Linked DNA regions of Caenorhabditis elegans. The protein of the gene in region 1 interacts with the protein of each later gene in a pairwise test. Each region holds a gene or a part of one and is shown on either strand. Other genes may lie near its edges. The genes, in order: btb-6 and rad-23.

Region 1 (3,608 bases):
TGAGAATTAAAATTATGTTCTTTTTGTTTAATTTTTAGGTCATTTCAGAGAAGAATTCACCTAAAATGAATATGAATTTCGTAAATAGCGTGTTTTCAGCTTTCTAAAAATATTTTTTTCGACCCAAAAATCGCAAATTGATTTTTTCGTTCATTTTTCGAAAAGCAAAAGTCCGATTTCATTTTTCGGAGCGAAGGACGATTTTGGAGATGGACAGTGTTTTTTGAAAGATTTTTTAGGACATTGTAGAGACCTCAAAAAAGTGATCATTTTTGAAAATTTCAAGTCGGATATGAAGAGTTTTATGAGCGAAATTGGATTTTTTTCAGAAAACGGTCTGTAACTTGGCGGAACATAAAAATATCAAGAAACTTTAAACTGATAAAATATGGAAAAATATTTTTTACTTACCATTTAACAAAATTTATCTTTTGAAATTCAATGAAAGTTGAGTTATGAAGGATACAACAAAAGAGTTCTCAAAATTTTTCGTGAATTTTGGAAAAATGGCTTTGACTCTGTGTAACTCTACAAGTAGTTGGTGTGTTGATATACAAATTAATGTAGTAGAAAGAACAAATATTTCTGATCATTTTGTTAGTTGTGCAATTGTTTTTCAGACTTTTATTTTTTAAGATACGCCACTTTGAAGATACTTGGTTTAGCGATTCACATAAACTTTCGATAATTTATTTTCACAACAAAAAAGGACAATTCAAACGTAGCAACATAATAAAAATCAATTAATCAGCAATTGCATGAGACGATCCGAGATCTTGCCTCTAGCAAAATCCGACAATTTCTTGTAATCATCGGATCCTCCGAACTTCTTTGCCTTGTCCAGGCTGTTCATCTCTTGGATTGCCTTTTCCAGAAGCTTCTGCAATTCGTACTTGTCGGCCAGGAAGATCAATCTCTCATTGGAAAAATTGGTTCCACGAGTGAAGTGGTGTTCGACCTGGTGAATGACACATGAAATTTTGAACCGATTTCCTAGATGGAGAAGCTTCTCAGCGTTTTGATCTGAAAAATATATTAATTATTGTGACATCATAGTAGGCTTCCTTACCATTGACAAAGCCTGTTTCGGGGTGGATGATGCTCATGAGAAGGCCGAAATCCTCGTAGGACACATCTTCAAGCCTAATCTCCTCATTGATCTTATCAGCGAACAGATCGGAGAAATAGTCCGAGTGGTAGGAGAGGAACTGCAATTTTTGGGTTTAGTTTAACGAAAAGATCTTGTGAACCACAAAACTCACCGCCTTGCTCACATGAAGCTTCTTCTCCCCGATCAAGAGCACCGCATCGTGTCGGTTGGATGGCGCGAACAATTTCTCATAGGAAACATCACTACCAATTTCATGATCAGTAGGCTTGTGCTCCGGGACTTTCTGACCGGGGCTCTTTTTTGGCGTAAGAGCCACTTTGTTATCCGAGCACTTCTCCTGGCAACAATTGGGCGTAAGAGAGTACTTACATCGTAGGTAATTATAATCGAAAACATTCCAATTAATTTTTTGTGCATAACATTGTCCTGGTTTGTCAAGGGTAATACTCTCAAGTTGTTGGTTACAGCTCCCTCCCGAGTTATCAAATATCCACGTGAATGTGCCAGTTAGATCCTTAATCACTTTTTGATCCCAATCAAATTTCACTGTAGACAGAAACTGGTCATCAGGATTGAAAATTGAGACATTGCTGAAAATTGTATTGTTATATAAATGTTAAATAAAAAACACTCACCATTTTAATCCATTACAATCGCTGTAAAAAGTGATAGGCAGGGTAGCATACATCCAATCGCTTGCGAACTCCAGGGTTTCATTTTTAGTTTTGTCCATGGTGTCCATTAATTTCTCCAGGCGGTCTAGGAACACCAAAAATTAAATTTAAAAAATAAGCAGAGAAATAGGGAACGGTGATAATGGTGGGCCACAAGTGAAGAGAATGAATGAGCACGTTCAGATAATGCGCAGGTAGATTACATATGGAGTATCGATTTTTTTGATGAACGCGTTCGGAGACTGGGAAAAGACTGTTTTAGACCTTGGGAGGGTATGTATGTAATGAGGGCAGTGTAGCGGTGTACCAGGCCTGACTCGCCTCGTCCCCGTCAACTGTCTTTCTGCTAAATGGACAGGAATAGCGAACCACCGCTCTCTGCCCAGGAGACTACTCTCCTGGGAAGTGACACAGACATGAACTACGGAGTGCGCAGATATAGCCTTTTTTGAAAAGAGTATTCTGAGTGATATTGTGAGAGACTCGTGGTGCATCGATTGGCAAGTTCAGGAGCTGGGAAGAGGCCGGTGGATCCTTGGGAAAGTGAACATCTGTTGGGTGTCTTATAATCTTCCGATCAGGTAGTCAGAGGAGACAATAGCAGTCTTGGCGTCACGACGAGTTAGCTACAAACAATTGTGACTGAATATTCATAGATGGCTTTCTTCTAGAAAACTTCTAGAACTTCTAGAACTTCTAAACTTTCAGAAAATTCTAAATAAATAGGTGAAAACTTGTTTCCTTGGAAATCACAAAAAATACGCATAACAAAGTACGTAGATCAAATTTCCAGACAGGAGTAGCAAATTTTCTTCAATTTCTCCAACTTGTAGCGATCGAATTCTCCATATTTCTGTAAAATCTTTGATGCACCATGTTTAAATTACAGAATTTTCCCACCGACTGAGAACAATTGGCTGAGAAATCTATTTTGACCCATTTTGAAAAAAAAAACGTTGTATTCCAGATTTACAGAGTATTGCAAATTTTGAGAGGGCAAAGATATATTTTTATACAAGGGAAACTTTCTAATATAACTTTTCATAAAGATTTTCTAACCGAGAAATGCGAAAAATTAACTAGAATCGGACGAGGAACTGCTTCTGCTGGAGCTGCTGGAACTGGAACTCTCGCTGGATTCAGATTCACTTTCCGACTCGTCACTGGACCGAAATGGGCACCTCTCCCGGGGTTTTGTTTCCTCCATCGCAAGTGCACTCCTTGAGCAGATCCTTCATTCCAAACGTGTTCGCCATCAGAATCAGCTTTTCAATTTCAATATCCGAATGCCAGAGCAGATGGTGTTCCACTTGCGCGGTGACCGCCCGCATTTGGAATCGATTGGCGAGCGTCAGAAGCTTCGCGGCGGTCTTGTCTGGAAAATTGTATTTTTGACAATTTAAGCAAAAATATGCCACAAACCCGTGGGAAACACTAGATCCGGGTAGATTGTGCTGAGAAGAAGACCCATATCCTCAGCGGAGACGTCACGAATTGGGATCTCTGGAATCTCGCTTTCTGTGGAGCTCGCCGAGAACAACTCGTGGAAGAAGTCCGAATGGAAGGAGAGGAACTGGAAATTTATGGATTTTTACAGTTTTTGGGTTTTTGGTGAATTTAGATAGGCTCACCGCTTTATTAACATGAAGTTTTTCGCCACCAATCATCAAAATCGCATCTGTTTTCTGGGATGGCATGAACATTTCCCGATACGAAAATTTTTCCCGGATTGGTGTCAAAATGAGCTCCAAAATTGCTCGAGTTTCAGCAAGACTTTGTGTATTTTTATTTTCGACGGAAAAATTGACACGGTGCTCATCAAT
Region 2 (4,173 bases), 9.9 Mb from region 1:
TCTCATGTATCGTTCAGCCTTTTCTGAATCAGCTTTCCGATCTTTTTCTCCATTCCAATGAACAAGTGATAAATATCGACATCCTTGTGGAATATTCGCATCACATGCGATTTTCATCGGTCGAATCATTTTTGACAGACTTGCATCGTCTCCAACTTTTCCGGCTAACATGTACATTCCGTACTTGAAACATGACTTTGGATAACTGTTCTCGTCACAGTTCTTCTTGAAAATCGCTACGGCCGCTTGAAAATTTTGTTGCAGAGCTTCCATGTATTCGCCGAGCAATTGACAGGATTCTGGCCTTTTTTCCTGAAAATTTAACTTCAAAGAAAGATTGAAAATTCAAATTTCTCACTTCGTAGCATCCAAATCTGTACTCAATCCCAATATTTTTCACATATTCCGCCCTTTCGGCCTGTTCCTGCATAGCTTCTTCGCTTATTTTTCCAGACATCTTCAAGTAAAGTGAATTAGCGCATATTCAGAAGAAATGAACGACCGATATTGGAGTACGAAATCGTGATGACTCATTGGGTAAAGTTTGATAAATCGAAACGAAGAATCATTAAAACATTTGACTTTCATTTGAAAATGTTGGATGACAAAAGGGAATTACAATACCGAAATTATGTCACACAAAATTCGCTGAACGCGACGAGAATTTCAACGAAGTGCCTACCAGTAGCGGGTGACAATCAGCACATGGAACTGAATGTGTTATTATCTTAAATATATAGACAAAGGGCAATCGAGAAGGCGATGAATACACATTCTTGGAAGAAGTGTTAATAAAAAAATTAGGCTGATAGGAGCAAGAATATAAGCTTTACGGAAATGGGGGAGAGAGAATAAATTAATTTCTGTTGCAATTTCCAGTGACGGTGATCAGAAGTTATTGGCATGGGTAAGATAATTATTCCTCATCCTGAAATAATTAAAAATTAAACTTCTAATTATCTACGTATGGAAATAAACTCACGAGGTTGCTGAAAATAAAGTTGATAGCGGCTTCCTCGTTTTTGTCACATGCGAAATAAGCCTCCACAACCACAGCTTCTGGTGCATTAACAACTATGGCTTTGATTCTCTCAATAGCAGCAGCTTCTTCGGGACTGAGATGGATAACATGGCGACGTGGGGTGTTTCTTTCTGGCGCATTTCCTGCAGCGGCTCCGGCTCCTTGAGCTCCACCATTCAAAAGATCCATGAAAGCTTGCTGGTTGTTCTGAATAGTCTGAACAAGTCTTGGGTTGACAGCAGCCAACTGCTGAAGGACTGCGGCGAGCATTTCAGGATTTTGTTGAATCAAAGCTCTAATTTCTGCAAGCTGTGGCATGTTTGCAAGCATGTTAAGATCGTCATTGCCATCCTCATCCACGTTATCGATGTTTTGCTCGGGCCCCAAATCTGGTTCTTGGTCAGCAGCATCATCAGGAAGTCCGTTGAGAAGAAACTCGACTGCGCGGTCTGGATTCCAGAATGCTGCGCGCAGAGCAGCGATAGTTTGTTCACGGTCATAGCCCATTCCAGTGATTGCGAGAACGTTCTCTTCTTGCTCATCCGTAAGCGCCTCCGCCTCAGCAGGAGCAGCAGCTTCAGGAGCAACATCGGCAGCTGGGGCTGGGTTTGACGCAGGAGCGGCAGCTACTGGAACAGGCTCAGCAGCTGTGGCAACGGTAGATGAAGGTGCAACTTCTGTGACTTTCCTTTTGCTGAGCATCACAACAACGAACTTCGAAGAATCGAATCCGACTTCTCCGACCTTCACAGAATCGTCGAGAATCTAAAAAAAAAACATACTTTAAAGATATTATGAGCCTTCACTGTAATACCTTTCCGTTGTAGATTAATTTTTGAAGTTCTGGAGCATAATCATCCCCTTTCTCCGAAGCGACCAGAGCCTTTACTTCCGCAATCTGAAAGAAAAATAAAATACAAGTCGAACATTAACTCTAATCTTACCGTCTGATCTTCATTCAATTCCAAATTGAAGTTAACTTGTGTGAGAGTCCTGAATGTAACGGACAAAACCATCCTGCAAAAAATTGTGAAATGTTACGAATAGAGTCATGTATTGAAAGAAAAAGAAATAAATATCGATAACAGATTGATATTAATGCAAAACAAGCAGTATATATGTATAAAATAAACAAACATTTGATTATTAATAAAAGAACAAAACAAAAAAACCATTTTGAAGAACAAAATAAGTGGTAAAAAACAGAAGAGAAAATGGCTTGGCGTCTTAAAGGCGCACATGATTTGAACACTCTTCGTGGCGAGACCTGCCAGAATTGTCATTGTGTCGATTTACGGAGAATGCGTTTATTTCTTTTTTGAATGTTTTATTTTTATTTTTTAACTTCACTTGTGTTTATCGTGAACTTTTATCTTCGATTTTATCAAATTAAAACATTATTGGATTTAAGAAAATGTCTGCCGCCCATAAAAATCTTCTGGCTGTGTGGGCAAAGGAGCCAAAAGATCTTGTCGCAGTTGAGAAGGCTCTGAATGAGTTGACGGTCAGTTAATTGTTTGTCAAATTGTAAATAAATTGAATTTTCAGAAGGTTCTCAGTGCCTCCAGCGATTTGAATGATAAACAGTCTGCATTGGCTTCAAAGTAAGATTTTTCTTTGGTGTAATGAGTTTAAATTATTAATTTTCAGAGATTTGTACGAGATTTCGGTGCTCTTGGCAATTCTGAAGCACGATTTCGAAACGTTCGACGATTACATCAATCAGGTGAGTCTTTAAATAATTATTTGGAAAATTTATGTAATTTTTAACGATCTGTAAATTATTTTTAATTTTCCAGATGCATACCTACTATACAATGGCGCCAGAAAATTCTGAAAACAAGCATTTAATGACTGGACTCCATCTGATGTTCCTGCTCGCTGCCAACAGATTGTCCGACTTCCACATGCTCCTCGAACAAATTCCACAGAAAGAGCAAACATCAAACGCTTACATCTCTACGCCAGTTCGTATTGAACAGAGTCTCATGGAAGGAGCCTACAACAAGGTTGTGCTCACCGAGAAGAATATTCCAAGCCCCTTCTACACTATTTTCATTCGTATTATGCTTGACACCATCCGTCGCGAAATCGCAACATCTATCGAGAAGTCTTTCAAAGTTCTGACAGCGAAGGATGCCACGGTCATGCTTCTGTTCGACAATGACGAACAAATGAAAAAGTTTGGACAAGAGGTAATAATGATTTTTAAAGCTACAAGTATTAAAAAATATATTTATTTACAGAGAAAATGGCATTTGGATGGAGAGCGTTACGTTTTCGAAATTGAGGTGGCTCAGGAGAAGCCTGTGAATTTGGATACAGTGCGAGTCGCAACTCAAACCCTCTTCTACGCCAAGCAACTCGAACAAATCGTTTAACCGGTGTCTTTCAAGAACTCAAGCATTGTATTTGTAAACTGATTTTAATTTATTCGCGTCTTTTTCTCGGTACTGTAAGAAAATGAACTTTCCGATGCATTGTTTTAGCAAGTTTTAATTACATCTGAAAATTTTATTTGCACAAAGATTTCTGGAATGAACAAGAACATCTATCAATATGATATACCAAAAAAAGAAGTTGGAAAAATTCGAGAAAAAATACATAGAGGGACAAAATACAGTGAATTCGAGTGTCTATTGTTTTCAACAATATATACAGCTAGATGAGTAAAAAAAAAGGACGAAAGATTTAGTAGATTCTGAGAGACAGATAGATAAAGCGTGCCAACTTGGTTGACTCCTTTCCCGTATTTTCTGATTACCACACAACACAGCGTTTCGTTGGATTCATCGGAGATCCAGCTGGACATTTGAAAGCCTCGGCAAATTCTGGCTGATTTGTTAGAACCGTGTTCACTCTGAAAAAATTATAAATAATTGTTGCCAAAAAAGTTGAATGAACGATGATGTGTATTGCGTAACATATTTTTGAATATCTTGTAGCGAAAACTACATGTAAATAGTAAATCGTCTACTTATGGAAATAAACTCACGAGGTAAATCTTTAAATGACTACTGTAGTGGTTTCGATTGTTAAACGAAAAATAAATAAATTTCCGAGCCCGTAAATCGACACTACAGTAGCCCTCTAAAAAGTTACTGTAGTTTTCGCTACGAGATATTTTGCGCGTCAAATATGTTATGTAATAC

What was found.
Region 2: the proteins of btb-6 (region 1) and rad-23 interact in a two-hybrid assay, tested with the Caenorhabditis elegans proteins (2 studies listed by BioGRID).

The regions. Positions count from the first base shown.
Region 1 is NC_003280.10:1,713,565-1,717,172, reverse strand, and holds btb-6 (BTB domain-containing protein), read right to left. Parts: upstream 1,871-3,608; 5' UTR 1,845-1,870; coding exon 1,747-1,844; intron 1,702-1,746; coding exon 1,263-1,701; intron 1,209-1,262; coding exon 1,070-1,208; intron 1,024-1,069; coding exon 740-1,023; 3' UTR 676-739; downstream 1-675. Other genes in the region: btb-7 (BTB domain-containing protein), read right to left, coding at 2,946-3,160, 3,208-3,358, 3,417-3,608.
Region 2 is NC_003280.10:11,650,692-11,654,864, forward strand, and holds rad-23 (UV excision repair protein RAD23), read right to left. Parts: upstream 2,039-4,173; 5' UTR 2,038-2,038; coding exon 1,966-2,037; intron 1,920-1,965; coding exon 1,836-1,919; intron 1,787-1,835; coding exon 983-1,786; intron 929-982; coding exon 917-928; 3' UTR 571-916; downstream 1-570. Other genes in the region: coa-7 (Cytochrome c oxidase assembly factor 7 homolog), read right to left, coding at 1-312, 359-457; rpn-12 (26S proteasome non-ATPase regulatory subunit 8), read left to right, coding at 2,436-2,525, 2,570-2,625, 2,672-2,747, 2,821-3,216, 3,268-3,402; nep-1 (Neprilysin-1), read right to left, coding at 3,782-3,881.